3 linked regions of the Macaca mulatta genome follow. The protein of the gene in region 1 purifies or fractionates together with the protein of each later gene. This does not show direct contact. Links are inferred from orthologs where the notes say so. Each region holds a gene or a part of one and is shown in the gene's direction. Other genes may lie near its edges. The genes, in order: GTPBP4, NSA2 and MRTO4.

What was found.
Region 2: the proteins of GTPBP4 (region 1) and NSA2 purify together in Homo sapiens (affinity purification with mass spectrometry; 3 studies listed by BioGRID and IntAct, counting the BioPlex papers as one, with this or other methods). This does not show direct contact. The link is inferred for Macaca mulatta from reciprocal best matches to the Homo sapiens genes GTPBP4 and NSA2.
Region 3: the proteins of GTPBP4 (region 1) and MRTO4 purify together in Homo sapiens (affinity purification with mass spectrometry; 3 studies listed by BioGRID and IntAct, counting the BioPlex papers as one, with this or other methods). This does not show direct contact. The link is inferred for Macaca mulatta from reciprocal best matches to the Homo sapiens genes GTPBP4 and MRTO4.

What each region holds. Positions count from the first base shown.
Region 1 is NC_133414.1:1,643,417-1,654,183, forward strand, and holds the start of GTPBP4 (GTP-binding protein 4), read left to right. Parts: upstream 1-5,447; 5' UTR 5,448-5,474; coding exon 5,475-5,522; intron 5,523-8,793; coding exon 8,794-8,964; intron 8,965-10,767. UniProt on the Homo sapiens protein: Involved in the biogenesis of the 60S ribosomal subunit. Acts as a TP53 repressor, preventing TP53 stabilization and cell cycle arrest.
Region 2 is NC_133411.1:81,140,822-81,151,600, forward strand, and holds the start of NSA2 (ribosome biogenesis protein NSA2 homolog), read left to right. Parts: upstream 1-5,340; 5' UTR 5,341-5,375; coding exon 5,376-5,378; intron 5,379-7,246; coding exon 7,247-7,434; intron 7,435-7,525; coding exon 7,526-7,676; intron 7,677-8,952; coding exon 8,953-9,132; intron 9,133-10,779. Other genes in the region: GFM2 (ribosome-releasing factor 2, mitochondrial), read right to left, coding at 1,715-1,777. UniProt on the Homo sapiens protein: Involved in the biogenesis of the 60S ribosomal subunit. May play a part in the quality control of pre-60S particles.
Region 3 is NC_133406.1:221,717,254-221,727,902, reverse strand, and holds the start of MRTO4 (mRNA turnover protein 4 homolog), read left to right. Parts: upstream 1-3,883; 5' UTR 3,884-4,029; coding exon 4,030-4,057; intron 4,058-6,915; coding exon 6,916-6,974; intron 6,975-8,420; coding exon 8,421-8,524; intron 8,525-9,535; coding exon 9,536-9,617; intron 9,618-9,927; coding exon 9,928-9,995; intron 9,996-10,297; coding exon 10,298-10,449; intron 10,450-10,649. Other genes in the region: EMC1 (ER membrane protein complex subunit 1 precursor), read right to left, coding at 1-72, 315-380, 1,572-1,696, 3,614-3,708. UniProt on the Homo sapiens protein: Component of the ribosome assembly machinery. Nuclear paralog of the ribosomal protein P0, it binds pre-60S subunits at an early stage of assembly in the nucleolus, and is replaced by P0 in cytoplasmic pre-60S subunits and mature 80S ribosomes.

The sequences.
Region 1 (10,767 bases):
CCACGCCCAGCTAATTTTTTGTATTTTTAGTAGAGACAGGGTTTCACTATGTTGGTCAGGCTGGTCTCGAACTCTTGACCTCATGATCCGCCTGCCTCGGCCTCCCAAAGTGCTGGGATTCCAGACGTGAGCCACCGTGCCCAGCTCAACCGAACACAGATTTAAAGAGCATCTGCTTTAGATGCCAATGCGGTAGGCATCAGTACTGTTTACAAATAACTCTGTTATTCTCAACTCACTGTCCAGAAATAGGCACATGGGAGCTGAGACTGAAACATTTGATTGTCAAACTCATTCCCCTTTCCTCGGCATAGCTATTGTCAACCTTTATTCTAGGAGTCTGATCTCTCAATGACCATCCTGAACAGGGGCCCCTGCTGACCTGTGGTGGGTATCTCAACCAGCTTGGGCTGCCATAACAAAATACCACTGACTGAGTGGCTTAAATAACATGCAATTTTCTTTTCACAGTTTTGGAGACTGGAAGGTCAAGATCAGGGCATCAGCATAGTTGGGTTCTGGTTGCAGCCTCTGCCTGGCTTGTTGAAAGCTGCCTTCCCTCTGTGCTCACATCGTCTCTCCTTGGTGCATGCATGGGGTCGGGGAAGCCTGGGAGCAGCCCTCTGGTATCTTTTCTCAGAAGTGCTCATAAGTATGCCAACTCCACCAGGAGAGCTCCAGCCTCGTGACCTTTTCTGAACCGAATTATCTCCCCAAGGCTCCATCTCCAAATACCATAACAATGGGGGTCAGGGCTTTCACATAGGAATTTGGGGAGACTCAATTTGGTCCAGAGCAGTGGGCATGAAGCATCAGAGAGAAACAACCAATGCTGAGATTTGGAGACTATTTGTTATCATAGGATAATTTAGACTGTCCAGACAGATACATTCTGATAGCAAATATTATTTTTATACCTCTATGCTTTTGTGAGGAAATAATATGTTTTTAATTAAAAATAATAGCGGGAAAGGCACTTAGCTTACTGTTAGTCTAGAAGTTGGTGGCAGGGCTGGAATTGAAATTTTAAGCCTCCTCCCTCTGGAAAACGGAAATTGCTAAAACATTATGGTTTCCTTGTGCAGACCTTCAAAATCAATTATTAAACTTGTGACAATAACGTCACATCATCAAAGTGAATTTTTTTCGCTGTTTTTAACCTGAGGGTCAGACATCACAACCACCTGCTTAACCAGCTTCCATAAACACCAAAGATTCAGATGTCTGTTGCAATATGAAACTTATCTTTGCTTATCTCGAGTATCTTTTTGGGTACAGCACAGAATGCTAATCTTAAGAAATTCTGCCTGCAGATATTTAGAATCGTTTGGAAATTGATCATACAAGCATAAGTACATGCATTCCAAATACGTGTATGTTTATTATTATCACAAATCTTCTCTAGGAAAAGAGATCGGAAGATTTCCATTAAACCTAAAATTGTTCCTTTAGGGAACAGCAGAATGCAAAGAATGTTTTTAACAGTGTGTCAATTGAATGACTCTTACTCAACCCATGGAAACAGCCCTTATCAGCAGCTCTGACGTGAGCAAGGGCAGAAGTTCATTAGCACAGGTGCCTGTCATGATGCACACACAGGAACGGAATTCTCACAGAAGAAACAACCTGTCTGCGTATCCAAACAGTGCTTTAGTGAAACACAGGTGCTGGGGGATTATTGACAGCATATGACCCCAAGTGCAATCCATCATGTACCTCCATGTAAATACCAAACAATTCATGACCAGCCTGGACAACACAGCGAAACCTCGCCTCTACTAAAAAATACAAAAAGTAACCGGGTGTGGTGGCGTGCACCTGTAGTCCCAGCTACTCGGGAGGCTGAGGCACTTAAATCTGAGAATTGCTTCAACTTGGGAGGTGGAGGTTGCAGTGAGCCAAGATCACACCATTGCACTCCAGCCTGGGCGACAGAGTGAGATCCTATCTCATAAATAAATAAACAAACAAACAAATACCAAACGAGGTAATAACCCTAAAGAGGTCAAGAACAAAGCCACTCTTGGCTGACAGTGCAAAAGGAGAGTGGCTTTGGAATTCCATGCTCCCTGGACTCACCTCCAGTTGTGTCTCTCCAGCTGTGTGGCGGTGAGCAAGCATCCAACCACATCAAAGCCAGCACTCTAATCTGTGAAACAGAGACAATCACACCCACCTCACTATGCTGTCCCGAGAAGGAAAGCAAGTGACCCGGCATGTGGTGGAGGCTCCCTGCTTTGCAGTTGTTAAGGTTCAACGAGAATTTAATGAACAGAACAAAAGTTTAGCAAACGTTATTGTAACTAAGTAGTTAATAAGAACATAGATAATACATAATAATGCGTAACAAATAATAGAGAATCTCTTTGCTCACTTATTAATGCCTGTAGAATAGGGTTAGTGAAAAGCAAAAATAATTCACATAAAGTATTTTTAACATGCCTGGTAGATAGTAACTGAGCAAAGAGTGAAGAAACAGAGGCTTGGTGAAGCTGATAAGTTTTCCCAGGATCAGAGGGGGTGGAGCTGTATCTCAGAAACGAAGCTCACACTCTTAACTCATGGTGTAATTCTGCAGAGAATGTCAGGCTGCACCTTTGGCCCAGAGGGTGGCTCTCATGCCACTGCTGCCTTCCACAAAGGAGGGTGTTTCCTTAGACTTCCCTGTTGACAATTTTCCTCTTTATGGCACAGTGTGGAGTTCTGACCCATTTCAGGGTTGTGCACAGGGTTCTGACGGTACTGTAATTCAGTAGGACTACTTGAGTATCGCAGAAGCCAGATCCCAACTGCTACAGGCCCAACTACATCAGGAACTTCCTCAAGCCAACATTCAATCAACAGAGTTCCATGGCCACTGCGAATGCTCTCGGCAGTGCTGCCTGAGGGGAGGGATGGCAGAAGAGTAAGACACAGTTCCTGTCCACGAAGAGCTGGCTACTTCCTTTGCAAACATGATGTACACGAGGAAGCATCCAGGTACAAAGCAGCATGTGACTCGTTCTGAATGAGTTCCTGTGGGGATCCAGGGAAGTGGCTGACGGGCCCGATGGAGCACTCTTAGGACCCTCTAAGACCGGATGGCTACTGATGGCTAATCCCCATGCAAAGGCTCCTTTCAGGCAGGAAGTTCAATTCTGCAAAATGTACCTTTCATTCATCAGAATTACAGCAACAAGAAGGTAAAACAGAAAATACCAAGTCCACAAAACAAAGAGATTTGAAAAACGAAGCTTTTCCCTGAGAAGTGCCTGGCAGTCAGAAGCTTTGCAGAGTACCCTTGAGAGCATCCTTTACTACGGCTGAGAAGTACCTTTCTCTGTCACAAGGTACACACACTCGGAGGCATCCTGGTAGCTGGAACCTCCGTTAACACAGTCAAGAATTGGCAATGTGCCTCATACTGCAGGCAGCGTTTCTGACTCTCCTCAGAAAGGCCTTTAGCGTTTGGTTTCTCCAGAGAAGCCCAGAAGTCTATCAATAGAGAAGCTTGCTCCTGGTGGTGTAGAACACACACTTGCCCCCAAGAAGCTATACTCAGCCAGAAAATCACAAGAATAGGCAAAAATGTTGATTCTTATCAACACGCACATGGTGTAGGATGCTTGGTACCTTACCATGGTCATAGCTCTGGGCCCATGATGAGCCATTATGGTTGTGCATTCACAGACATGCCTTTGTAGCTGAACAAGTTAAAAGCAGGTGGCTCACACCTATCATCTCAGCACTTTGGGAGGCCAAGGCCGGTGGATCACTTGAGGTCAGGTTTTGAGACCAGCCTGGCTAATATGGTGAAATCCTGTCTCTACTAAAAATACAAAGTGTTAGCTGGGAATGGTGGCAGGTGCCTGCAATCCCAGCTACTCGGGAGGCTGACGCAGACGAATTGCTTGAACCCCGGAGGCGGAGGTTGCAGTGAGCTGAGATTGTGGCACTGCACTCCAGCCTGGGTGACAGAGTGAGACTCTGTTTGAAGAAAAAAAAAAAAAAAAAAAAGAATTAAGGATGTTTGCCCATCTGAAGCAAAGTATCTAAATATCGGATTAAAAGAAAAAGAAAGAGGAACTGGCTATATCAGAGTGAGAGAAAGTGGGAGATGCTGAGGAAACATATAAGAACCTAAAAGAAAGGGCAGTAAGTATAAGCATAGCTTTGCTAATCTCGGAAATGGTGGCCAGAACTGTCCTGCGGCTTAGCAAATGATCATAGCCAGCGAATCCTAATTACCCTAGAAGCTTCCTTTAGAAGTGCCAGAGATGTAGGAGGTATGCTTATCCGCCTTGTGACACAAAAATGGAAGCATAGTTAATAGATGAGAAAAGCATGACTCAGAATGATTTTCAATATTGGAATGTTGGGAATTTATGAGAGGTATTTTCGTGTAAGAATAATAGGACTTATTTAAAAGGTTTGGAGAGTGGGGGGCATCCCAGATGCGTGAGAAGCAGTATAGCTAATCGTTAGAAGTAGGTTTGCTGGAGCCAGGCTGCCTGGGTTCAAAGCCCACCTCTGCTGCCCCTTAGCTGCACAACCCTGGGCTGCTTTCGAGCCTTGCTGTGCCTTGGGTTTCCCCACGCACTTCATGAGGCAGTTGCAGGAATTAAACGAGTTAATATGTAGTCAACAGCTCTGAACACTGCTTGAGTGAGTCAGCCCTACCTAACGTTTAATTTACAGGATGTGGCCCTGGGTTCCTTAAGGGAGCGGCCACACTATTCACAAACATTAAAGCAGTAAAGGCTCCATCCTCATCACCTTTCTCCTCTGTTGGACCCCACAGGACTGTCTCTCGAAACTGCTTCCTCCGCTCTCCTAAGGCACTCTGCGGAACCAGCGGCACCTCTTTCGCCTGAGATCAGGATTTCCCTTCTCCGCCCGTTTTGGGATTTAACAAGCACGAGAAAGGAGGGCTGCAGGGGAGCCGCGAGGGCCTCCTCACCACCGCCCGGGATCAGAGTGGGGGGTGTCACCCGCTCTACACCCAGAGCCCGGGCACACCCCGCACGCGCGGCTCCCTCCTCCTCGGCGGGGCTCGCCGCGACCCCGGACGCCCAGACTCCCGGATACCCTCGACCCTCCGGACTCCTAAGCCCCGCATCCCCCAAATCCCAAGACCCCCCTCGAACCCTGTTTCAGGGCGGATGGCTGGGGGCCTGAACCCGCTCCAGAAACCCGCAGGGCAGTCTGTCGGAAGCCTCTTCTTTACCCAGCATGAATTTAGTCTCCGCGCGCCCCCTAAAACCCAGGCGTCCTCTCCCCCGCGCCCTCGCTCCCGGGGCCCTCACACACTCTCCGCGGCGGACCTCCAGGCCGGGCGGGTGCGCTGTGCGACGCCGAAAGCGCCATAGAGCACGCAAGACACGCTTGGCTCCCGGAAGTGACGTACAGCAAGCGCCCGACGGCGGAAGTCCCTCCTGCTCCCGACGGCGGAAGTTCCGGGAGTGCCCAGTACCCGCGTGCATACGGCAGCCGGCATGGCGCACTACAACTTCAAGAAAATTACGGTGGTTCCGTCCGCCAAGGTAGGTGGCTACTTTCGCCTTCTCATTAGCGGGGTCTCAGGGGAGGGTCCGGGCCTGTAGCCGTGGGAGAGCGGTCGCCTTCCGCTCGCCCACCACCCGCTCCCGGGCCCGACCTGCCGGACGGGTACTCGAGATCATTTCCCCTCCCCCAGCAGAATCCGGGGTCCACCAGAGATCGGATCCCCCAGAGACCCGGGTCCACCTGAGACCGGGGTCCACCCAGAGACTGAGGGCCCCCAGAGATCGGGGTCCACCCAGAGTAGGGTTCCCTGGAGGGGCTCCGGGTGACGAGGTGGGCGAGTGGAGGGGACCCCAACATGTGAGGGAGGAAGCACTCCGTGGTCCGTGATGAGCCTTCAGATTCTGGATTTGGCGTAGCCCCCTCCCCTCTCAGGAATCCTCGGTTCGTTGCTATCGTGATTTAACATTTCTTAATTTTTAAGTCATTCTCTTTCACTGTTAGATTTGGGAACCCCTGTTCTTTTTAGACCATAGTAGGCCCAGACTAAATTTTTACAGCGTTGGTTAGTGTGGCAAGAATGAGTCAACAAGTGTTAAGTGTTAGAATTTTTTTTTTTTTTTTTCCCCGAGACAGAGTTTTCCGCTTTTGTTTCCCAGGCTGGAGCGCGATCAAGGCTCACTGCAACCTCCACCTCCCGGGTTCAAGCGATTCTCCTGCCTCAGCCTCCCGAGTAACAGGGATTACAGGCGTGCGCCACCACGCACGGCTAATTTTTGTGTTATTAGTAGAGACGGGGTTTCACCACGTTGGCCAAGCTGGCCTCGAACTCCTGATCCCAGGTCTCCCAGGGAGATCCCAGGGAGTTCGAGATCCCTCGAATTCCCGCTCCGGCCTCCCAAAGTGCTGGAATTACTGGCGTGAGCCACCACACCCGGCCCTGGTATTACGACTTTTAAGAAGTCATGTTTTTATGTAGTGAACATTCGATTTGGGCCGCAATTACAGAGACATTGACGGGCAACTCGAGCCTCTCAGGGACTGCTGCACAAGAGGGAGTTACTGAAGTCCCTGCAGAGTGACTGTTTTCCTCTCATCAGTGTCTCCTTTTCTTCACGTCTTAACAACGGAATGAGCTTGCCTTGGAAAGCTTTGTGGGAGTCTCGTATTTTACCTTCATAGCAATAATTGTTTCCCCACTTCTCTCCATTTCTCATTTCTTCCTGACAATTGTTCTGACACATCTCTTGATAGATTGTAGTATTTTCTTTCTTTCTTTCTTTTTGAGATGCAGTCTCGCTCTGTTGCCCAGGTTGGAGTGCAGTGGTGGATCTCATCTCACTGCAGCCTCCGCCTCCGATTCAAGTGATTCTCCTGCCTCAGCCTCCTGAGTAGCTGGGATTACAGGTGCAGGCCACCAGGCCTGGCTAATTTTTGTATTTTCAGTAGGATGGAGTTTCACCATGTTGGCCAGGCTGGTCTTGAACTCTTGATCTCACGTGATCCACTTGCCTCAGCCTCCCAAAGTGTTGGGATTACAGGCATGAGCTACCGCGCCCGGCCAGATTGTAGTATTTTCGAGTGCAGGAATCATGTCTTATTTGTATTTTTGGTCAGCCATCTCTCAAGTTTGTTGAAGGAATTTGCTCTTTGGATTACATGAACTTTGTTCATGTTATTGACTTATGTGGAGAACTTTAGGATATGTTAGTACACCATCCATCTTCTGTGGAATGAGATTTGTATTTTTAGAGAACAGATGAGTTTACACCTAAAAAATGGGTGATGGTAATTGTTTGGTGATTGGAAGTTAAAAAAAAAAATCACATCAGGAAAGTGTGTGGTATTCAGTTCATTCTAGAAGCTGTTAAGTGAGTGCCTGTCCTATGCATTGGGTACTGTGTTACAAAAATGCATTAGATAAAATACCTGCCTCTTTGGAAGTCGTTGTCAAGAGGGGTAAGTCGAGGCCGGCGCGGTGGCTCATGCCTGTAATCCCAGCACTTTGGGAGGCTGAGGCGGGCAGAGCACAAGGTCAGGAGATCGAGACCATCTTGGCTAACACGTTGAAACCCCGTCTCTACTAAAAATACAAAAAAATTAGCTGAGCGTGGTGGCAGGCACCTGTAGTCCCAGCTGCTGGGGAGGCTGAGGCAGGAAAGTGGCGTGAATCCAGGAGGCGGAGCTTGCAGTGAGCGGAGATTGTGCTGCCACTGCACTTCGGCCTGGGCGACAGAGCAAGACTCTGTCTCAAACAAAACAAAACAAAACAAAATAAAAAAGGGTAAGTGGCATCATGAATGACCATACTAGAAATGAAACATTGTTATCATGGAGGACCCACATGGATTGGGAGAGAAGAGTGCGGTTAGCTGTGGTAAGTTGGAGAGTCAGGGGCAATCTTATGAAGTAGGTAACCTTTGAACTGGTCCCCCTTCAGGATGTGTGAACGCCATTAGGTGCAGAAAAATGTAGGGAAGATCTTCTGTAGGCCCAGAGGGAAGACCGTGTGTGCCCCTCATAGTACATGGAAGACTGTTGTGACCACCTGTTTACTTGTCTCACTTGTAGACCCAGAGGGGAGACGGTGCGTGCCCCTCATAGTATAATACTTGGCAGACTGTGTTGTGCCTACGTGTTTACTTCTGTCACTGGACCCTGAATTCCGTGAAGGAAGGGACAGTATCTTGTTCATTATCTTCAGCACCCAAGTATCCTTAACAACCTTTGTTTGAAATAATATTGAGTTAATCAAATTGTTGAATTAATCAAAGTGTTCAAGAAAAAAGATCCAAGTAATTTTGTGTGACTAGATACACTGGATTGAGGAATCCTGGGAATTGGATCCTTATTAAAGAGAAGTGCTGACTCTTTGCACTGGGCAACTCATGCAAAAATCCTTCATCTCCTCAAGTAGTTCCCTTCCATGCTCTTAGGAAATTATGAAGTGGATTTTAGTTTTACCTGTTATTTTATCTACTTTCAAAGTCAAAGATATGCATAAAGAAATGGGAGGATTGTTTCTTTTTCTCAACTATTTTTTCTAATTTATGATTTGAGTTCTCTGATTACTTAAGTTTCAAAGGTTCTTAGGTGTTTGGAAATTAAGATAGCATCAAGAAAGTGTGGCGTAAAATTTATCTTAGCAGCCGTGTGTTTGAAGATGAACAAGGTTGTACATAAAATGTTTAGAGTAAATTTTTGTAATTTAAAATATGTAGTACTGTAATTAGTGTTTTAAGAAGGTTTCAAATAAGTGGATCAAAAGTAGACACTTTTGATGTAATTATGTTTTATTTTCTTTAATTGCAGGACTTTATTGACCTGACATTGTCGAAGACTCAACGAAAGACTCCAACTGTTATTCATAAACATTACCAAATTCATCGCATTAGACATTTTTACATGAGAAAAGTCAAATTTACTCAACAGAATTACCATGATAGACTTTCACAAATTCTAACAGATTTCCCTAAATTGGATGTAAGTGACTTGGGGGACTTCTGTGGTTATGTAAATATGAGCCTTCAGAGAATCAGTGTTTAACCAGTTTGGTGTACTCATTTGACAGAAAAGGAAACAAAGTAAATTACTTAGATTACTCAATAAGTTAGTGGCAAATAACTAATTTGTTGAATTAATAAAAGTGGGAACAGAATATGGGTTTTTTGATTCCCTAGTATTCTTTCCTCCAACTAAACCCCATCTAAGGAGGCCCGAAGCTCTCTTCTCAGGCTTTCTGTGTAACCCCTGGGCTTACAGGTGCCAACCCAAGTGGTAATGATAGCTGTGGGTTATGAATGCAGAAGCTGACAGCTCACTGGTTGTTTGGGCTTCATCTCCTGCACCCTCTTTCCAAGGGTTTTATTCCTCTGGGCTCAGCTTGGGTGAGTGGTGTAAACTCCACCACTGTTTGTGATCTTGTTGCTTCATCAGCTGATGACAGTTCAGCACTGACTGTTTTCTTCTTTGGCAAGAAGAGATCACGTGGGAGCTGTGACTTTTGAATGAAGCCAGAAACCTTGAGCTCCTTTCACTGCTGCACATTGCAGTTTGCCTGTTTTGCCTGTTCTATTTCTTTTTTTTTTTGAGGCTGAGTCTCTATCGCCCAGGCTGGAGTACAGTGGCGTGATCTCAGCCTGCTGCAGCCTCTGCCTCCTGAATTCAAGCAATTCTTGTGCCTCAGTCTCCTGCGTAGCTGGGATTACAGGCGCATACCACCACGCCTTGCTAATTTTTGTATTTTTAGTAGAGACGGGGTTTCACCATGTTGGCCAGGGTGGTCTTGAACTCCTGACCTCAAGTGATCTACCTGCTTCAGCCTCCCAAAGTGCTGGGATTATAGGCGTGAGCCACCACGCCCGGCCTGCCTGTTTCTTTAGCTGTAGAAAAGTAAGAGCAGTGTCTGCTTGGCAGGCACTGCTGACAAAGCCTCATGACACCACGCATGGGGTAATGTGGTTGCAAGGTTATTTGAGGTTGTGAAGGGTGCGGGGATCAGCAGTATAGTCTCAAAGCCTAAATCCGCCATTGCCCCACAATAGTTGCTGAAGGCAGATGTAAGCAGAGGGAAACATTTGGCTTCTGTGACAGTACTTCATATTTAAACAAGTAATAATGGCTTTTTTTTTTAAGCCGGGGTCTTGTTCTGTTGCCCAGGCTGAAGTGCAGTGGCACGACCTTGGCTCACTGCAACCTCCACCTCCCGGGTTCTAGCGATTCTCCTGCCTCAGCCTCCCATGTAGCTGGGATTACAGGTGCCTGCTACTATGCCTGGCTAATTTTTGTATTTTTAGTTGAGACAGGGTTTCACCATGTTGGCCAGGCTGGTCTCAAACTCCCGACCTCAGGTGATCCGCCTGCCTTGGCCTCCCAAAGGCGTGAGCCACCACACCCAGCCAATAATGGCTTATTTTTAAAATACAGAAGTACTTAAAATAAAATGCAAAAATTCTTGCTAGAGGACAGACACTTAGGTTGCATCTGTCTAGGATTTGACACAGTTGCTCAGTAGATGTTTGTTGAATGAGTGAATGGTTTCTTGGGAAAGGTCAGGTACTAGAGAGTACCTGGGGGTGAAGAAAGTGATTAAGAATATGTTTCGATTTTTTTTTTTTTTTGAGACGGAGTCTTGCCCTGTTGCCCAGGCTGGAGTACAATGGCATGATCTCAGCTCACTGCAACCTCCACCTCCCAGGTTTGAGCAATTCTACCGCCTCAGCCTCCCTAGTAGCTGGGATTACAGGCATGTGCCACTATGCCCGGCTAATTTTTGTGGGTTTTTTT
Region 2 (10,779 bases), on another chromosome or scaffold:
GTTAGTTACCAAGTTTCTGGAAATAATATGCTACTATCCTTAGAAAATATTTCCACTGCATAATGACTAGGATAAGACCCAGTGTCTATCACAGAGTGCATAGTCTGAAAGTGTCAGCAATCAAAGCACTGAAGAAAAACTGGGTAACTCCTTGTGCCACTTAATGAGATCACAAATGGAATATAGAAATATATCTTCTTCAAAAGGCTGCTCAGGTGATTTTAAAGTAGCAAAAAAAAAAAAAAAAAAAAAAAAACTGTAGACAAATGGTAAGGCTTCTTAGGGTTACAGGTTCTCCACTACAGCAGTCATACCCTATCCACAGGGGGTATATTCCAAGACCCCCAGTGGATGACTGAAACCTCCGATAGTACTGAACCTAATTACTGTCCATCAGAACATGTTTCTGTTCATGTCTTCTGCCCACAAATTGAATAGCTTTTCCATCTTAACTAACCTCTTATCATGTTATGTGACCATAACTTTTGCAGTTTGAAGTACAACAGTAAAACTAGCAAAAATGTCTTTTTCTTCACAATTTCACGGATAGAAGATTCATTCCTATCATAGATCTTAGTAACCTCAGCATATGACTTTTTTTTTTCCTTATTAAGCCAAGAATTTTCACCTTTTCACTTAAAGGGAACACTTTATGGCTTCTCTTTGGCATATCCAAATTGCCAGCATCACTACTCTTGTGCTCTGGGACCATGATTAAGTAAAATAAAGGTTACTTGAACACTAGCATGGCAATACCACAATCTGATAACCCAGACGGCTACTGACTCATGGGTGGGGAGTGTATACAGTGTGGATATGCTGGGCAAAGGGATGACTCACCTCCCAGGTGGGATTAAGTGAGATGTCATGAGATTTCATCACAATACTCAGAATGGCACACAATTTAAAACTTATGAATTATTTCTGGAATTTTCCATTTAATTTTCAGACCACAGTTGACTTTGAGCAACTGAAACAGCTAATAGCAAAACCATGAATAAGGGGAAACTACTGTACTCCCTGTTAAGTCACTGAAGATAAAAAGAAATAACCCAAGCAAGCTTTAAAGTAATCTTTCACTTAGCACTAGATAAAAGGGGTATTATTACGTTTGAGGTTTAATAACTCTGAAGTATACTGAAGACGCGATAGTTCATAAAATAATTTATAGTGTTTCGGAGAGGATTCAGGAGTCAGACCAGAGCTTAAAGACTAAAACAATGTTCCTGAGACAAAGATCAGACTGCCCAAGAAGTTGGCTTCCAACAGCTCTGCAGAAGACAGCCAAAAGTAGTTTTATCAACCATTGTACAATTATGTTATACTTCGATATTAAGAGAAACTTTATTTCATAAGAGTCTTAATCTATGGATACTTAACATTACAAAGCACATTTTCTGTTAAAGATGTACATTAAGTGATGACATTCTTAGATATAAAACTGTACCCTCCTTCAAAAACAACTGGCATTTTAGTACTCCATGAGACCAGCATTTAGCTACAGCTGTTCTTTTACTTTTAAATTAAGGTAATTTCCTCTCATATTTCTTAATAAATTAAGGCAATTACTTTCAAATTAGTTTGGCTTGAAGATTTCCAAAGGTTATGACTCAACTAAGTCTGGAATAAACAGCTGATGAGATATACTGGGCATTTTAGGCAGTAAAGTAGCTGAGGTTGTTAAAGGACATTTAATCTTGTAAGAAATGCTTACATTAATATGCACACTGGATATTGTCTGATGACTCACTGCACATATCCTCAAGTTGCTCAACATTTTGATCCTCCAAACTGTTATTGTCTGAAAAAATAAATATACAAAATTATAAAACTAAAGTTATGTATTACATGTCAGCAAGGCATATGTAAGTTAGACATATGTAAGGTAAAATCTATTACTTTTAAAAAGTTGGAATGATATTTTTAGCTACCAAAAATACAATGCATCATTCAGAAAATGAAAATTCTGATTAAATATGAGAAATATGGTTCTTAGGCTTAAAATGTCCCTTTTTGTTAATGTAATGTTTAAAGAAAGACATGGAGATACATTAGAAATCAACTTATTGAAATTACAAAACACTGTATCAACCAAAATGCATTGTTATGTAAATGAATAGAATTAAGTATAAAAACTAAGAATCCACACTTGGTAATTTCTAATTGGCAGTAAAATTTACTGGTTCATTTGTATATTCTGATTTTCCTACCATAACATGTAAAAACTAAATCATGTAAAAAATATATAAAAGTCCTCTTCCTCTCTGATTATAGAAACTAAGCATCTTTAATTTAAAAACATTTGCTAAATATTCACTACGTTTCAAGTACAATATCAAAGCTATTAGAAATCTAAGGACGCAGCTGAGACTGGGGGTGCTGGGGAGACAAACAGATCACGTTAAACCAAGCTTGTCCAACGCATGGTCTGCAGGCCACATGCGGCCCACGATAGCTTTATATGCAGCCCAACACAAATTTGTAAACTTTCTTAAAATATTGTGAGTTTTTTTTTCTTGCAATGTTTTTTTAGCTCATCAGCTATTGTTAGTTACCATTAGTGTATCTTATGTGTGGCCCAGGGAAACCAAAAGATTAGACACACTTGTGTTAAACCATTGTGATCCATGTTATTAAGAAGATATGTCAAAACTCATTACTACTCCTAAGTCTGTTCTTTTCTGGATTTTAGCTAAGAAACATTCACTACTCTTATTTAGAAAGTCATCTAATACTTTCATTTGATTTCCTAAACATATTTGAATCTGTTTCCTTTTTTTTTTTTTTTTTTTTTTTTTTGAGACAGGGTCACCCAGGCTGGAATGCAGTGGCTCGATCTCAGCTCCCTGCAACCTCTGTCTCTTGGGTTCAAGCAAATTCTCCTGTCTCAGCCTCCCGAGTAGCTGGAACTACAGGCATGTGCCACCACGCCTGGCTAAATTTTGTATTTTTAGTAGAGACGGGGTTTCGCCATATTGACCAGACTGGTAATGAACTCCTGACCTCAAGTGATCTGCCCGCCTCAGCCTCCCAAAGTGCTGGGATTACAGGCGTGAGCCACCATGCCCAGCCTTGAATCCATTCCCTCTTCATGGGTAATGCCAAAGTTCAGGGCCTCATAGTCTCTCTACAGTTACGACTGTAATAGACATTTAATAGACATTTTCCTCTTCTTACTTTAACTCAGTGGTTGTCAATAAAAAGATAATTTGCATAACCCAGCCCTCCCCCGCCCAAGCCTATTCCTTCCCATTTATTCAAAAAGAATTTACTACATGTCTGTCTACCCACTGCTTTCTAGATATTAGCGTTACTGCAGTGAACAAAAGACAACAATCTCTGCCCTCATACTGCCTCTATCCTAGTCAGGGGATAGAGACAACAAACAAAAGTAACAAATACAACACATAGTCTCTCCTATGATGATAGGTGCTGTGGAGAAGAATTAAGCAGGAAAGAAGAATTGGGACAGTTAGAACTGAAGTAAAGAGATCAAGGAAGGCCTCATTCAAATAGTGACATTTAAGCAAAGACCTGGAGTAGATGAGGGAGGAAATTCGGGGGGTGGGGGGGGGGGGCGGCGGGGAGGGGTGCATTACAGGCAAAGAGATTATATAACGTACTGTACCTAAAATATACAAATGCTAGTTATTATTTCTGGTTTTAAAGAGAATGATGATATCACCTTAGAAAATGGAGCCTTAAAAACTGCTTCAAAGGCCGGGCTCGGGGGCTCATGCCTGTAATTCCACCACTTTGGAAAGCCGAGGCGGGTGGATCACCTGAAGTCAGGAGTTTGAAACCAGCCCGGCCAACATGGTGAAACCCCGTCTCTACTAAAAATACAAAAAAATTAGCCGGGTGTGGTGGTGGGCGTCTATAATCCCAGCTACTTGGGAGGCTGAACCAGGAGAATCGCTTGAACCCGGGAGGCAGAGGTTGCAGTGAGATGACATGACGCCATTGCACTCCCGCCTGGGCGACAAGAGCGGAACTCCGTCTCAAAACAAAACAAAACAAAACAAAACAAAAACTGCCTCAAAGCCGGCCGCTGTGGCTCGCGCCTGTAATCCCAACACTTTCGGAGGCCGAGGCGGGTGGATGGCTTGTACCCAGGAGTTCGAGACCAGCCTGGGCAACATAGTGAAACCTCGTCTCTACAAAAAATACAAAAATTAGCCAGGCGTGGTGGCACGAGCCTGTAACTCGCTACTTTTGAGGCTGAACTCGGAGGATCGCTTGATCCCGGGAGGTCGAGGCTGCGGTGAGCAGAGCTCGCGCCCCTGCACTCCAGCCTGGGCGACTGGGCGAGATGCCGTCTCAAAAAAACCCACAAAAACAAAATACTGCCTCAAATCCAAGCACTAAGAATTAATGAAAGTATTCTTTTGGTACAGTTCTTTTTGTTCATCAACTGAATCACGTACAAGCTGTGAAGTAATTAAAGGAACTTCTGCAACTGTGCAGTAAAAGGGTAAAATTGACAGTGTATTCAAGCAGACGTACTTTTTCTTGTAATGAATTACTTCTTGGCCTCTAGGGGGCCACTAAATACAAGTCCACTCACTTAGCATTTGATGCGGTGCACCAAAACGCCTCAGAAATTTCTGGAATCAGTCCTGTACCTCCAAAAAAAAACAGAATGTTATCTTCGTCTTTTCTAACAGTTGCAAAGGCCCAGTAGTTCTATTTTTCTGTACACTAAGTTTTCATTCCTCAGCATCCTTCACAATCGTGCACACATTACAGTGTGACCGGAACAAAGATGAGTCCCCCTCGCCGAATGATAGAGAAAAACTTCCATATTGAGCGAACACCGAGGGGAGTCCGGAGGCCTTGTTGTCCTCCTCCGTGGCTGGCTGTGTCTGTCGCAGCCTGGAAGGTCAGCAATACCCAGCGCGGGACAGGGTCACAGGCGTGCAATGTCTCACAGCTCGGAGCAGTACTCACCTGGTATTAGGCCGCGTGCCGCAGGCCAGCTCGTCACCGCTGGGCTGTTGAAGCAGGAGGCGCGGGCCGCGCCAAAGTCTGCAAAGGCCTCAAGTCTCCACACCAGCCTAGACAAACGGCCTTGTACCTAAACGAAATGAAGCTAGGATTTTTCCGCTCTGCCGCCTCAAGCAGCCACACCTCCGCACTTCCGGCGGTGTACCGGCCAAATGCCGCCTGCCAGCAACTTCCGTCCTCTTAACCTAAAAGCGGAAAACGGAGGCTCGGAACCGCTGCGTGGTTCTTGCTCTTCACTCGGCCGTTTTAAAGGGCGACCCTTTCCTGTCCCGGCCTGCGTGGAGTGGGCTTGTGGGTCTTTGAGCCCCGAAAATTGAGAGCGTTTTCGCACCCCAGGGGCTGCTCCTGGCGGCCCTGCGGCCGTCACCATGGTAAGGAGGATGCGTCGGACGCCCGCGACATACAGCGTTTGAGTTAGTGGGACCTGAGGGCTCTGGGACGCTGGGGCAGGGGGTGAGCGGTGGTAGGCGGAAATGAAAACTGCTAAGGGAAAAGGATGGTGGACTCCGTGGGGTGCGCTCTAAGGAGTGAAAACAACTTCACATTCGAGACACAGAGGGTATTTGCCAGAACACAAGCTTTGGAGCAAGATTTTACTCTTTTTTTTTTTTTTTCTTTTTGCTCCACCACTAAGAGTCCTAAAAATTACTGATTTCACCACAAGCATGGTTATCAGCACCAGAGCCTAATGGGAATATGGTTGTGCCTTGTACAATCTTAGATGTTAATCCCACCCCTTTCATTTTACTGTTAAGGAAACTGAAGGCGTCAAAATGAAGGGGTCCTTGCCGAAGACCAGACAGCTAATGAATTGCGAAGCCGGACTTAACGGCCCAGATCTAACTGCCAGATCCATGCTCTTTCTGTTACGTCTCTATCATCTTGCGTTTCTTTGCGAAGTGGCATTCCATACACCCTTCATGTGATTGCTGCAAAGTTTATATGATAGCAGTTGGTAGCAGCACGCCTTGCTATTTGTTACTTAACACTGTTCTCTGTGCTGGACTTGGCTTTGTATCATTTTTATTTTTGCAGCCTTAAAATACGAATAGACACGCCTGGTCTCGTGTTTAAAATAAAACGTGTCTAAAATGCAAAAAGCGTCCCATACATTGGTGGTGAAATGAAAAATAATGCACTTTGGAAAACGGTCTGGCAGTAAACACATGTCCACATGAAGACTTGCATGCAGTTTATTGCAGATTTATTCGTAATCAGCCAAAACTGGGAACAACCCAGATACCTATGAACTGGTCAGTGGGTAAACAGTGGTATATCCATACAATAGCATACTACTCAACAATAAACAGAATTGAAGTACCTATACCTGCAACAAATTGGGTGAATCCCAAACCAGATTCAAAAGGCTATGTACTACTGTTGATCCCTGTTTCTTTCTGAGAAAGGCAAAACTAGGGATAGGTATCAAATTGAGGGTTGGAAAAGAGGATTGACTTCAAAGTGACATAGGGAATTTTAGGGGGAAATAGAAATTCTCTATTTTGATTGTGGTGGTTACAGAACTGTGTAGTTAGTAAAAACGTAGAACTGCGCGGTGGCTCAGGCCTGTAATCCCAGCACTTTGGGAGGCTGAGGCGGGCGGATTACGAGGTCAGGAGATCGAGACCACTGTGAAACCCCATCTCCACTAAAAATACAAAAAATTAGCCTGGCGCGGTGGCGGGCGCGCCTGTAGTCCCAGCTGCTCCGGAGGCTGAGGCTGGAGAATGGCTTGAACCCGAGAGGCGGGGCTTGCAGTGAGCAGAGATCACACCACTGCACTCCAGCCTGGGTGACAGAGCGAGACTCTGTCTCAAAAAAGAAAAGGGGGGAAAAAAAAAAACTTAGAACTGTATGCCTAAAAAGAACAGATTTTACTGTGTGTAAATTATGCTTCAATAAAACTAACTTAAATTTTTTTAATGTGAAATGAAGATGTTATTTAAAAAGCAAATTATATCAAGGAAAAAAGATACTGTAATCAGTTCATCCCTTTTGTGGTCCAGTAGATTTTGGAACATTCCCTACTGAGATTATTAGAAATGTAAGCCCTGATGCCTCATACCATTCAAGATCAAAATTTAACTTACATCATGTGAATAGACTTAATGGTGCAATAATCATTCAAGTAAGTGAACATTTGGATGAAACAGGGTCTTTATGCTGTGTAAAAGCAAGCATTTTAGAATAATTGTCAGTACTTTTAAAAACTAAAATAACATTTCTTGCATCATTATAGCCACAGAACGAATATATTGAATTACACCGTAAACGCTATGGATACCGTTTGGATTACCATGAGAAAAAGAGAAAGAAGGAAAGTCGAGAGGCTCATGAACGTTCAAAGAAGGCAAAGAAAATGATTGGTCTGAAAGCTAAGCTTTACCATAAACAGCGCCATGCTGAAAAAATACAAATGAAGAAGACGTAAGTGGTCTCATTTGTCATGACAAGTTAACATCTTTTGAGTCATCATTATTAAAACAGGTAATTTTGAATCTTTTTTCCTTCTTGGTAGTATCAAGATGCATGAAAAGAGAAACACCAAACAAAAGAATGATGAAAAGACTCCACAGGGAGCAGTACCTGCCTATCTGCTGGACAGAGAGGGACAATCTCGAGCTAAAGTACTTTCCAATATGATTAAACAGAAACGAAAAGAGAAGGCGGTAAGCAATAACAATTGAAGTCTTTGTTTTGTTTAGGAGAATTACTTAAATTCAAATTTGAGGTTCTTGTTTCTTGGTTTAATTTCAAACATGAAGTACAGCTATTCCCATTATTTAGATGTTGAGGTCTTTGTAAATTTAGTAATAAAAAAAACTTGCTTTCCCATCATAAGGTTCTAAAATTTAAGTTTTAAAAAAATTATTAGAATGCCATATGAAATTAAAAAGCTGATAAGGAGTGAATTTCAAATTCAATATTTGTCTTCCTGTTTGAAAACCCACAGTGCTATGCAGTCATAAAGAAAAATACAAATGCTTCTTATTTGTGCTGTCCTGTAGTGCCAAAATTGGTTCAAAAGCAGAATGGTGGAAAACTCCCTGAGTTATCACAAAAAATGTGGCTTTTTAAAACATCTGTGAATAGATTAGCAGAAATCCAGATAAAAGAATATACTGTATCTATATTTAAAGAATTCTTTCTACTGCCTTACACTACTTCAGTTTTTTTCATAGAATTTGCACTCAAGGGAGGCATAAAACATCTGGTGAGGACTTTGTCTTACTATTAATGTAATCTACAAATCCATTTCAGGAAGAAATACAGAGACAAGAGGTGGAAACACTCGTCCAGTGTTAGGCTGTTAAACATTAGTAAACACATAACACTGCTTATAGAAGTCACCATCGACTGGGCACAGTGGCTCACGCCTGTAATCCCAGCACTTTGGGAAGCCGAGGCAGGTGGATCACCTGAGGTCAGGAGTTCAAGACCAGCCTGACCATGTGGTGAAACCCCACCTCTACTAAAAATACAAAAATTAGCTGGGTGTGGTGGTGTGTATCTGTAGTCCCAGCTACTCGGGAGGGTAAGACAGGAGAATTGCTCGTACCCAGGAGGCAGAGGTTGCAGTGAGCCAAGATCGCACCACTGCACTCCAGCCTGAGCAACAGAGCGAGACTCCGTCTCAAAAAATAAAAAAAAAAAATAAAAAAAAAAAAATTACCACCACATTACAGGTGGTATTTTCTCACCCATAACACAGCAATAAGATTTTTAGCTTAAGTCAACCATTTATTTAATGTACCCATGATATATAAACTTGTTCTGTTTAATTTGCAGCTTATGAGACAATACAGAACTCTAGAATAACAGTTGAGCCAATGATGGTTAAGCAAAAAAAAATAGATCTACTGCTTTGTACAACTAAAACATACTTGACTTATTCTCATTGTCCTTTAATAACAATGTAAACTTTTAACTGTGGCATATTTTTAGGGAAAATGGGAAGTCCCTCTGCCTAAAGTACGTGCCCAGGGAGAAACAGAAGTATTAAAAGTTGTTCGAACAGGAAAGAGAAAGAAGAAAGCATGGAAGAGGATGGTTACTAAAGTGTGCTTTGTTGGAGATGGCTTTACAAGAAAACCACCTAAATATGAAAGATTTATCAGGCCAATGGTAAGTCCTTGGAAGAGTGTAATGACTGAAATATTAGTTCACTTTGTTAAATCGGATAAAGAACGTTATAATTTCCTGAAATTCTTTAAATTGATGTGGAACAGATTGGAAGATATTTTTATGCTATTTTTGTTATTTTAAGTTAGTGATAGAAGTTATTTAGTACTTTTTCCACTAGTTAAGAATCTTTAGCCGGGTGCGGTGGCTCACACCTATGATCCCAGCACTTTGGGAGGCTGAGGTGGGTGAATCACCTGAAGTTAGGAGTTCAAGACCAGCCTGGCCAACATAGTGAAACCGTATCTCTACTAAAAAATACAAAAAGTAATCTGGGTGTGGTGGCGGGCGCCTGTAATCCCAGCTACTAGGGAGGCTGAGGCAGGAGAATCACTTGAACCTGGGAGGCAGAGGTTGCAGTGAGCCGAGATCACACCATTGCACTCCAGCCTGGGAAAGAAGAGCAAAAATCCGTCTAAAAAAAAATATATATATATATATATATTTTTTTTTTTCAGCTTCGTAAGAGATTTGAAAACTGTCATAAGACATTGTCAGTAAATTCTGACTTTTAAACATGACATATTAGAATCTTCATTTTCTTCATATTTTCTCATTCAACTAGTGATCTGCTATATGCCTGATATTGTCTAGGTCTCAAAACACTTCTTGTCTTTGACAACAGTTCGAAAACTTGACTAGGACTGTTTTGTAAGAGTCAGTTTCAGTTTGGTAAGGAAAGTATCCAAATGCTCTTGAAAATCATTGAAAAGCCAGGCGCGGTGGTTCACGCCTGTAATCCCAGCACTTTGGGAAGCTGAGGCAGGCAGATCACGAGGTCAGGAGATCAAGACCATCCTGGCTAACACTGAAATCCCGTCTCTAATGAAAAAAAAAATACAAAAAAATTAGTCGGGCATGGTGGTGGGCGCCTGTAGTCCCAGCTACCTGGGAGGCTGAGGCAGGAGAATGGCATGAACCTGGGAGGCAGAGCTTGCAGTGAGCAGAGATCACACCACTGCACTCCAGCCTGGGGGACAGAGCAAGACTCTCAAAAAAAAAAAAAAAAAAAATCTTTGAAAAAAGGAAGATAATTTAATATAGCTTAATTTCTATTGAAGGCAGCAATAGTAATATGACCCCAAACTTCCCCACCCCGGGGAGAAACATAATTGAAGATGTATTTTTGCAAAATCCCTTCAAAGAGACTGAACTATTCTCCCAGTTAGATACACAGCCTCAAAAAAACAAAGTATCAGAGAGAAGAAAGTTGCAACATGCCCAAATCCTAGTGTTCAACCTATTTTTTTTTGTTTTTGTTTTTGAGACGGAGTCTCCCTCTGTCGCCCAGGCTGGAGTGCAGTGGCGAGATCTCAGCTCACTGCAAGCTCCGCCTCCCAGGTTCTCGCCATTCTCCTGCCTCCGCAGTAGCTGGGACTGACTACAGGCGCCCGCCACCATGCCTGGCTAATTTTTTTGTATTTTTAGTAGAGATGGGGTTTCACTATGTTAGCCAAGATGGTCTCTATCTCTGTGATCTGCCCGCCTCAGCCTCCCAAAGTGCTGGGATTACAGGCATGAGCCACCGCGCCTGGCCAACCTGAGTAATTTTTAATAGATTAAAATATTGGCAAACAGCCTGTTTCTGTA
Region 3 (10,649 bases), on another chromosome or scaffold:
CCCAATTCAGGCCCCCGATGTTAGTCTCCCAGGAACGCATGATTCGGCCTCCACTGGACACAGTGATTGCATCTGGAAAAGAAAAGATCATGGTGAAGTCATTTCCCAATTGTTCTGTCGCCTCCTAGGGTCCCACTGTGAGCAATGGCCTCACCTCTGATTTCGGGATGCAAATACATGTTAAATAGGTATCTGTCCTTCACTGTCAGGAGTCCCCCATCTCCTTTCCCTACCAGATCCTGTACAGATGACAGAGCCAAGGAATGGGACAGGGAGCCGGCCACACAATGGAGACACAGGAGGACTCTGCTTACCCTGTCCGTGAAGCAGCATGGCATCCACAGCCCCTTCTGCCGTGCCCTTGTCAACATGGCGCCACACTGAGAGACATGAAAGTTAGATGTTACTGTGAACAGAAGGAGGCAACCCAGAAGACTAAGAGATAAATGAAGAGCTCTTCATTTGCACTGCAATGTCCAACTTTATTTCGAGGGAGTGAAGGAGTATGGTTAACTGGCAGTGATCCAGTACCATTCACGGGGTAATGAAGGTAGAAGGGGTTAAGAGGAGCCACTACTGTCCAGGCCCCACTGCCACCCCATCAAACATAAACAAACAACAATAAGATTAATAAAATCCATCCAAGTCATAAGAAAAATAGTGATCGGCCGGGCGCGGTGGCTCACGCCTGTAATCCCAGCACTTTGGAAGGCCGAGGCGGGCGGATCACAAGGTCAGGAGATCGAGACCATGGTGAAACCCCGTCTCTACTAAAAATAGAAAAAAAATTAGCCGGGCGCAGTGGCGGGCGCCTGTAGTCCCAGCTACTCAGGAGGCTGAGGCCAGAGAATGGCGTGAACCCGGGAGGCGGAGCTTGCAGTGAGCCGAGATTGCGCCACTGTACTCCAGCCTGGGTGACAGAGCGAGACTCCGTCTCAAAAAAAAAAAAAAAAAAAAAGAAAAATAGTGATCATAAATTCTATTTCCATTATTTTAGTGCCTTAATTTACACAGCCAGTGTAGGTAATTAAGTGAGGGTATGTGAGAGTTTACTGCAAAGTAGAATAATGTGTTTTCTGCAGCAGCATCTTTTTTTGAGACAAGGTCTTGCTCTACTGCGCAGGCTGGAGTGAACTGGCATGATGACAGCTCACTGTAGCCTCAACCTGCCAGGCTCAAGCAAGAATCCCACCTCAGTCTCCCAAGTAGCTGGGACTCTAGGCACACACCACCATGCCTGACTAATTTTTTAAATTTTAGACATAGGGCCTCATTGTGATCCCCAGGCTGGTCTCGAACTCCTGAGCTCAAGTGATCCTCCCGCCTGGGCTTGCAGCAATATCTTATTTAAGGGCACTCAGGATTCAGGCTAAGAGAATAAACTGCAAAGGTCAGTTATAGGAATATACAAACATTCAAAGATGGTAAGACTGAAAAAAGTATCAAAATCCACTAGGAGAGGCGTCTTTTGGCCAACATGTCCCTTATTCAGGAATCAGCCAAGCAGAGTTGGCAATGGTGAGCCTTCCATCCCTTAGGCAGCCAGTAGACACGGTTCCCAGTTCACTCACAGATCTCCCCAGTTCTGGAATTTAATGCTGCAATCACATTCTTCTCTGTGGCTACAACCAACTTCTTAGATCCAGGGGAAAATTCCAAGGAGGCAAACTTGAGCTTCCCAACATACTGCTGTCTCCTGAGGAAAAGAGTACAGGGGAATGTAAGGAGCTAAAATCACCATTCCACAAAATGCTCCAGAAAAGAACAAATCACAGGGCTATCACCATCACACTCATTTTAGGACATATAAGAAGTGTTTGTGGCCGGGCACGGTGGCTCATGCCTGTAATCCCAGCACTTCAGGAGGCCGAGGCGGGCAGATCACAAGCTCAGGAAATCGAGACCATCCTGGCTAACATGGTGAAATCCCATCTGTACCAGAAATACAAAAAATTAGTTGGGCGTGGTGGCAGACGCCTGTAGTCCCAGGTACTCGGGAGGCTGAGGCAGGAAAATGGCATGAACCCGGGAGGCGGAGCTTGCAGTGAGTCGAGATCACGCCACTGCACTCCAGCCTGGAGGACAGAGTGAGACTCCGCCTCAAAAAAAAAAAAAAACCGGAGGTGTTTATTAGCCAGGCTCTGTGGCTCACACCTGTAATCCCAACACTTTGCGAGGCCGAGGCGGGTGGATCACCTGAGGTCAGGAGTTCGAGGCCAGCCTGACCAACATGGAGAAGCCTCATCTCTACAAAAAAATACAAAATTAGCTGGGCATGGTGGCTCATGCCTGTAACCCCAGCTACTCGGGAGGCTGAGGCAGGAGAATTGCTTGAACCCAGGAGGTGGAGGTTGCAGTGAGCTGAGATCGCACCACTGCACGCCAGCCTGGGCAACAAGAGAGAAACTCCGTCTTAAAAAAAAAAAGAAAAAAAAGAAAAGAAAAGAAAGAAAGAAAAATCTTAAACGGAGTCTTTCCCCCCCATCAGCCTAGCCTGGCCCTGGGCTCAGAGCAGAGTTGCCCAAAACACTAAGCAGTTAGGAAATGCCATTCATTCATTCATTCATGAAAAGAAAATTGCATATATCTAGTATTCTGCAACATTAGATATATATATCACCTGCTATATATGTGTAATATACACATATGACATTGTGAACAGTTGTGCACATCATTAAAAATTTAACTTATGTTGCATTTGTCACACTGTCTGGCATAACAGGTACTCAACATATATGTGAATCAACTTTTTCAAGACAGAAAATACTTCAGAGGAGGAGAAATCTGAGCTGGGCCCTGAAGAATAAAGTGTAAAGAGCAATAATAACAGGTAACATTTAATGACTGCATTCAATGAGCCAGGCATTGTTCTAAGTAATTTAATTGGACTGTCTCATTCATTCTCACAAGTACTGTAATAGATAACAGACTGTTAGTAAACCCATTGTATAGACAAAGAAACAAAGGCACAGAGTGGTTAAGCCACTTTCCCCAAGATCACACAACTCTTAATTGGTAAAATTTAAACAAAAGCAAGCTACTTCAGGGCCTTAAGGAAGACGTGAGTGGGTGAATGAAGGAATGAATGGCATATTCTAGCTGCTCAGAGTTTTGGGCAATCCTGCTCTGAGCCCAGGGCCAGACTAGGTTGATGAGAGGGGGAAAAGGGTGCAGTTTAGGACTTTTAAGACGAAAGCTCCTGTTCAAATGCCTACAAGACACCAATTCGAGTAGGAATTCAAGTTCACTGACGGCGTGGCGACCTCTGACACCTGGTAGACCAGAAACCTGACAGTCAAAGAAATGGAACCTGACGAGGGAGAACGGGATCAGTGACCTCTGACCAGCACCCCAAGCATGCCTGGATGGCAGGGCCGGCTTACACACAAGGATCAGCTTAGAAGGACCCGTAACACTTGGTTTAAAGCTCTGCTTCGAACGACTTTAAATCCTTAATTTTTGAACAAGGCGCCCCACGTTTTCATTTTGTACTGGGTCCTGCAAATTATGCGGCCAATCCTGTTACATGACAACCCCCTTCCCTTTAGCAGGCAGGAGACAGGTACCGTGGAAACAGCCACTTATCTCTCGAATATGTTCTACACGTACGCACCAATCAAACTTGCCCACTTGGTCTTCGTAGACCGCGGCCACAGGAATCAGCAGCACAGCCCAAAGCCAGAAACGAGAAGCCCACTCAGCCGCCATGATGCGAGCGCAGGCACCGCCCACCGCCGTCCCGGCATGCACCGGGCCGCGGGCTCCGCCTCCGCGGGACCACAGAGTTGGGACCGTGTGCGAGGCCCTCGGTGGGCCGCTTGGGATTCGGGGATTTCCTCGGCACGCGGGAAGTAGCCTTACAGGCGCGGGAGAAAGCGCAGGTGGTGGCTCGGCAGAAAAAGGCAGGCTGCAGTGCACACTGGGTCAGGCACACGCGAGGGGCAGCCCCCGAGAGGCGTCCCAGAGGCCCCCGCGCCGCCGGGGTCCTAAAGGGGTGCACCGTCTTCCGCCGCACGTGGATTCAGCGCGATGCCCAAATCCAAGCGCGACAAGAAAGGTGGGCAAAGGGGGCATTGGGCCCCTGGGGGGACCTCCGTGGGTTGGCTGCCCAGCCTGCGGTGAGAGCTTCGGGGCGGCGGGGGCGCAGAATAGAACGCCAGGACATCCTCGAGGTGTTCCGCTGCCTCGCTGCTAGCTGGAATGGGGGCTTCGAGGCTGTAAAACCGCCAGAGGGGGCTGACGCCTGGTCGGGTCCGGGGAGCGGAGACTCTTGCCTAGTTTCAAGTGCTCTTACAAGGCCTACTGGGCCGGGAGGCAGCTCCTGAACACCGCCCCCGGCTGTGCCTGGTGCCATTTCGGCCCACTTTTCCCAACCTCGGCCCTTTCTCATCTTCCTGCGCTCCCGCCACCCTGGCTGCCTTTCCCCGTTCCCTTCTTTCAGCACAGGCTTTTTCTCGTGTCTGGCGTTGTGTGTCTGCGGTTGTTTCTGTCTGGCATGCTTACCTCTTCGTATGGCTTGCTCCTTCTTAGTTGTCAGTTAATAGGACTCTTCTGAGTCAGGGTCTCGCTCTGTTGCCCAGGCTGGAGTGCAGTGGCGCCACAGGCCGGGTGTGGTGGCTCACGCCTGTAATCCCAGCACTTTGGGAGGCCAACGTGGGTGGATCATCTGAGGTCGGGAGTTCTAGACCAGCCTGGCCAATATGGTGAAACCCCGTCTCTACTAAAAATACTAAAAATTAGATGGGCGTGGTGGCGGGTGCCTGTAATGCCAGCTACTTGGGAGACTGAGGTGGGAGAATCGCTTGAACCCGGGAAGCAGAGGTTGCAATGAGCCGAGATCGCGCCACTGCACTCCATCCTGGGCGCGACAGAGCGAGACTCCGTCTCAAAAATAAGTTACTGCAGCCTTGACCTCCTTGGCTTAAGCGATCCTCCCACCTCAGCCTCCCGAGTAGCTGAGACTACAGGTGCACGCCACTACACCCAGCTAGGTTTTGTTGTTGTTGTTGTTGTTGTTGTTGTTGTTTTATAGAGACGACTTTCAGTGTGTTGCCAAAGCGGTCTGGAACTACGCCCGACTTGAGCGTAGTGGCTCACTTAAGAGACCATTTTTGACCACCTTTGCTGTGGTGGTATCTCTTTTAACCCGACTCCCTGGCATACTCAAAAATATTCAGGGGTCTGGCACTTTCTAGGCGTTGGAGGATACAGCAGTTACAAAGAAGGCCTGTTTCTTATCGAGCCTAACGTTTCAGGGGAAACACATTCCACAAAATGCTAAAAATCAGATTGAGTAAAAGTGGGGTGAAGAGACGGCAATATTTTGTATAATGTGGTCAGGAAAGGTCTCACTGATGAGGCGACGAACAAAATTAAAGGAAGCGAGCAACCTGTGGAATTGTGCACCTGTGGAATTATCTGGAAGAGTGCTGTTGCAAGTAGAGGGAACGTAAACTGAAAAGGCTCTGAAGTGGGAGCAGGTTTGACATGTTTGGGACAAGAGGCCAGTGGGGTTGGAGCAGAAGGAGCCAAATACAGTTGGGGGAGGGGTTAGGCAGAGAGGGCAGGGCTTCCTCGGCCTTAGTAAGGCATTGGCTTTCCTGCCCAGGTGAAATGGGTAGCAGAGGACTCATGTGATTTACCTTTGCTTATAAAGGGTCACTCTGGTTGCCTTGGTGAGAATAGTTGGGGAAGACAGGGCAGAGGGCAGGGATGGAAGCAGTGAGACCAGCATTAATCCAAGAGAGGGTGATGCTGACTTGAGCCAAAGGTGTAACAGTGGAAATGATGGGAAGTGGCCCGCTATATTTCGTTTGCCCCCCTCTACTCCACTTACCATTGACTGATGTCAGTGTCTTTGTCTGTGTGGTACCTTGTTAAGAGGGGCTGAGTGCCGGGCAGGTTAAAGAAGAGAGGCCCGGGTCCCTTTGTGAAGGCGCCCGGGGCTTTGCAGTTGGAGTTCTGTTAAGTGTTTGTGGAACGATTTGATTCTGTGGAGGGGGCCCAGGTCAGGTCTGGCAAATGCAAACTCTCTGGGTAGAGGGCAAATTGGGCCCCAGCCATTTTTACAGTAGAGGTACATATTCCTCCCCAGAGAGGTGTTGCTGCATCTGTGGGTCCAGGTTGCAAAACTGGAGTGCAGATACATAACAGGAGATTCAGTCCCCAGTCTCATGGTTGCACAGCATAGGCCAGCTAGAGTGGCCTCTGCATCATGGTCAAGAGCAGCAAGGGGCCGGGTGTGGTGGCTCACACCTATGATTCCAACACTTTCGGAGGCTGAGGTAGGCAGATCTCTTGAGCCCAGGAGTTCAAGACCAACCTGGGCAACATGGCAAAACCCATCTCTGCAAAAATACAAAACTCACCTGGGCATGGTGGTGCATTTCTATGGTCCCAGCCAAAATTAGCAGGCCATGGTGGGGTGTACCTGTCATCCTGTGGGAGGATTGCCTGAGCCCAGGAGCTCAAGGTTGCAGTGCGCCAAGATCGTGCCACTGCATGCCAGCCTGGGTGACAGAGTGAGATCCCATCTCAAAAAAGAAATAAATAGGGGCCTGCCTCAGCCAGCAGGTGAGGTCTGCCACTGAGAGCACTCCCAGCGGCAGGAACAGTCTCCACCCCCACACCGCAGTCAAGTTTTCTGGGTGAGCCTTAGGGGCTAAGAAAGGCCTAGTTTGTCTAAATAGCAGGAGTTATATCCAGAGATCTTCAGGGCCAGGATGCTAATGAGTAGGCATTCCGTGGGCCCTGGAAATGGCTTTGTGTGCCAGAAATGATGGCCACGAAGGCCTTGCTGCCTTTTTTCAGAATGGCTGCATCCAACTGAGCTCTCTGCCAAAGGGGAGAAAAAAATAAGTGTCCAATGCATCTAGATTGGTCCCTCATCATCTCTCTCCTTTTTGTTTTTATTAGTCTCCTTAACCAAAACTGCCAAGAAAGGCTTGGAATTGAAACAAAACCTGATAGAAGAGGTAAGAAGTTTTCTTTTTCTAGAGCTTGCAATTGTTCGTTTTATCAAGGTAGGTATAGGACTGTTGGCCAGGGGAGCATACTATTGGAAAAAAAAAAAATCTCCAAGCTGCTAATCCAGCCCTTTTTCCTCCAGCAGCAGCACCAGCAAAAACTTCCATAGTGATGATTTCCAGCTTTGACTAGCTCATACTCTGTGCCCTGTCCTGCACTAAGTGTTTCTTATGTGTCATTCTACTCTATCCTCATAACATCGCTGAGATGTGGGTACTAGGTGATGATGTTGCTGTTTTGCATTTGGGGTCACTGAAGCTTATAGAGGTTTGTTAGCCTGCCCAATGACAAAAAACAGGAGGAGGCCAGGAACGGTGGGCCACGCCTGTAATCCCAGCGTGGGATTACAGTAATCTGGGAGCCCAAGTGGTCAGATAGCTTGAGTCTGAGAGTTCAAGAGCAGCCTGGACAACATGACAAAACCTCATCTCTACAAAAAGAAAAGAAAAAAAAAAAGCTAGCTGGACATGGCAGTATGCAGCCTGGGCAACAGAGTGAGACCCTGTCTTTAAAAAAAAAAAAGCTGGCCGGGCGCGGTGGCTCAAGCCTGTAATCCCAGCACTTTGGGAGGCCGAGACGGGCGGATCACGAGGTCAGGAGATCGAGACCATCCTGGCGAACACGGTGAAACCCCGTCTCTACTAAAAAAATACAAAAAACTAGCCGGGCGAGGTGGCGGGCGCCTGTAGTCCCAGCTACACAGGAGGCTGAGGCAGGAGAATGGCGTAAACCCGGGAGGCAGAGCTTGCAGTGAGCTGAGATCCGGCCACTGCGCTCCAGCCCCGGCGACAGAGCGAGACTCTGTCTCAAAAAAAAAAAAAAAAAAATAGCTGGGAGATTTACCAGGTGTAGGTGACTGCACCAACCCACTGTCTGTACAGCTTCTGACTTGCCAACCTGGGCTGCAGGCTGGATGAAACAGTCTCCTTCTGCACAATGACTCCACTCCTGGAGGCTGCCTCCTGGTGGCTTTGGCCAGCACCACCTGCAGAGCAGTGCTGATCAGCTGCCTCCCCTTATAACAGTGAGGCTCCATATGCTTCCACGTAGCAGGACCCTTCGTAGTGTGGGTGAATGTTTCTAGGTTAACCGTTGATGGTCAGTTCCACTGTTGGTCATAGATAAGTGAGAAACCTGGAAAAGGCCGTGGGGTATAGATCCATGGCTCAGCCTCCCCTGTAGTTAGGGATCCTAGATCCATGGCTCAGCCTCCCCTGTAGTTAGGGATCCTAATTTCAGTAATAGAGGTAGGAGACAACCCAATTAGAGGCCTCCAGTTCTTCCAGTTTCCATAGTTGTCAGGGGCCCAGAGCAGATTCATTCTCATCTGAGGCCAGAGTAGTGCCCATTGTATACTGCTGCTTGAACTCAGAGCCTGGTGAATTGTCCCACAGCTTCGGAAATGTGTGGACACCTACAAGTACCTTTTCATCTTCTCTGTGGCCAACATGAGGAACAGCAAGCTGAAGGACATCCGGAATGCCTGGAAGCACAGCCGGTGAGTGGGCAGGGGGAAGAAGGCCCTTCTGAGTGGGGACCCGGCCAGGCTGCTCTCAGTCAAAGTATAGGAGCAATTTCTGACCCTTTAGGTGCCTGGGTCATGCCACTGACACCTTAATAATGACAAAGTGCTACCTGCCACTGAAGAGCACTTCCTTTTCACTGTTACAGCTGGTTTTGGGCCGGGTGCGGTGGCTCACACCTGTAATCCTAGCACTTCCGGAGGCTGAGGCAGGCAGGTCACCTGAGGTAGGAGTTTGAGACCAGCCTGGCCAACATGGCAAAACCCCTTATCTACTGAAAATACAAAAATTAGCCGGGCATAGTGGCGGGCATCTATAATATAATCCCAGCTACTCGGGAGGATGAGGCAGAAGAATTGCTTGAACTCATGAGGTTCAAGTGAGCTGAGATCGCACATTGCACTCCAGCCTGAGTGACAGAGTGAAACTCCATCTCAAAAAGAAAAAAAGCAGATTTTGCACTGAGCTCCTGGGGGCAGGACTTGGCAATTGAGATGTTTGAGAGGTGGTCCTTTCCAGAGAAGTGGCCCTTTAACCCTGGACTTTGGGCCATTTAGGAGCATCACACCAGTTTTAGAATGTCAGCATGGGCACTGGGACACAGACAGTGACCTGGGAGCAGGATGCAGGAGCCACATGGCCAGTTTCTGTCCTGGAGCAGGTGGCTCTGGTGTTGGTCTTCTGCCGCCCCAGCTCTGGTTCAGGCTGTTAACGTGCCTCCTGCATACATCCAGATGGAGAACTCGTACATGATGCTCGTGATGGGCTGGGAGACAAAGTGTTGCCATGTCAGGGGTCTGTGGGTGGGAACATAATGAAAAGGACCCCGAAGTGGGGACAGTGTGGCCAGGCAGCATGGAGAAGTGAGTGCCACTGGCTCAGCCTGGGCCTGAGCTCACTGGGGACCAGAGCTGCTTTGCATGTTGCTAAGGGGCGGGGAGGGCAGGGCACTTCCTTCACAGAATGCTCTTTCTCTTGCTTGGTAGGATGTTCTTTGGCAAAAACAAGGTAATGATGGTGGCCTTGGGTCGAAGCCCATCTGATGAGTACAAAGACAACCTGCACCAGGTAAATCTCTGGTTTTCACGGGGTGGGGCTGAGGCAGAGCCGCCTTCTCTCCCACTACTCCCACGTGATAGCCTCCCCTAGCCGTCGGCTGGCCCGTGGCTCAGGGAGAGCAGGGCCTGGCTTAAAGCTCTGGGTTCTCCCTTCACCTCCGGACCCAGGGAATAGCACCCTTCCTGCCTCCCACTCCTTCCTGCTGTGACCACCAGAAACATCTTTAAACGTTGCCAAATGTCCCCTGGTGAGCAAAAACGTGCCTAGTAGAGAACCACTGCTCTAATGTGACCAAGCTGGCCTCACTCTTGATTTGTAGGTCAGCAAAAGGTTGAGGGGTGAAGTGGGTCTCCTGTTCACCAACTGCACAAAGGAGGAGGTGAATGAGTAAGTACTGCTGAGGAACGGAGAGAAAGAGGCGGGTGAGGGGGATTTTAGGGAGGGGATGATGCAGGGACTTCATTCCATATGCGGCATCAAGTCGGAACTGCTCCTGGAAGCCTGTCACTGAGCTAGTGACCTGGGACCACAGCCCTCTCTGCCCTCTCCAGCATGGTGTGGTGGGCTGACTGCTGGCCAGCAGCCAAGGTCTGTAAAGGCCCAGGGCCACGGGACACTTGGGGGAGCCTGACTCATGGGCTGGTGGTGTGGCCAGGAGCATCCCCTCCTACCGCTTCTTTTTCCCTTAGGTGGTTCACAAAATACACAGAAATGGACTACGCCCGCGCTGGTAACAAAGCAGCATTCACTGTGAGCCTGGACCCGGGGCCCCTGGAGCAGTTCCCCCACTCCATGGAGCCACAGCTCAGGCAGCTGGGCCTGCCCACCACCCTCAAGAGAGGTATGGGCAGCCCTGGAGCCAAAAGCTCACAGCCTAGAGTCCAAGAGCACAAGCCTGCAAGCTCATCCCTTTCTGGCTGAGCAAGTTATTTCTACAAGCCTCCATTTTCTCATGTGAAAATGGGGCTAAGGGGCGGGCGCGGTGGCTCAAGCCTGTAATCCCAGCACTTTGGGAGGCCGAGGCGGGTGGATCACGAGGTC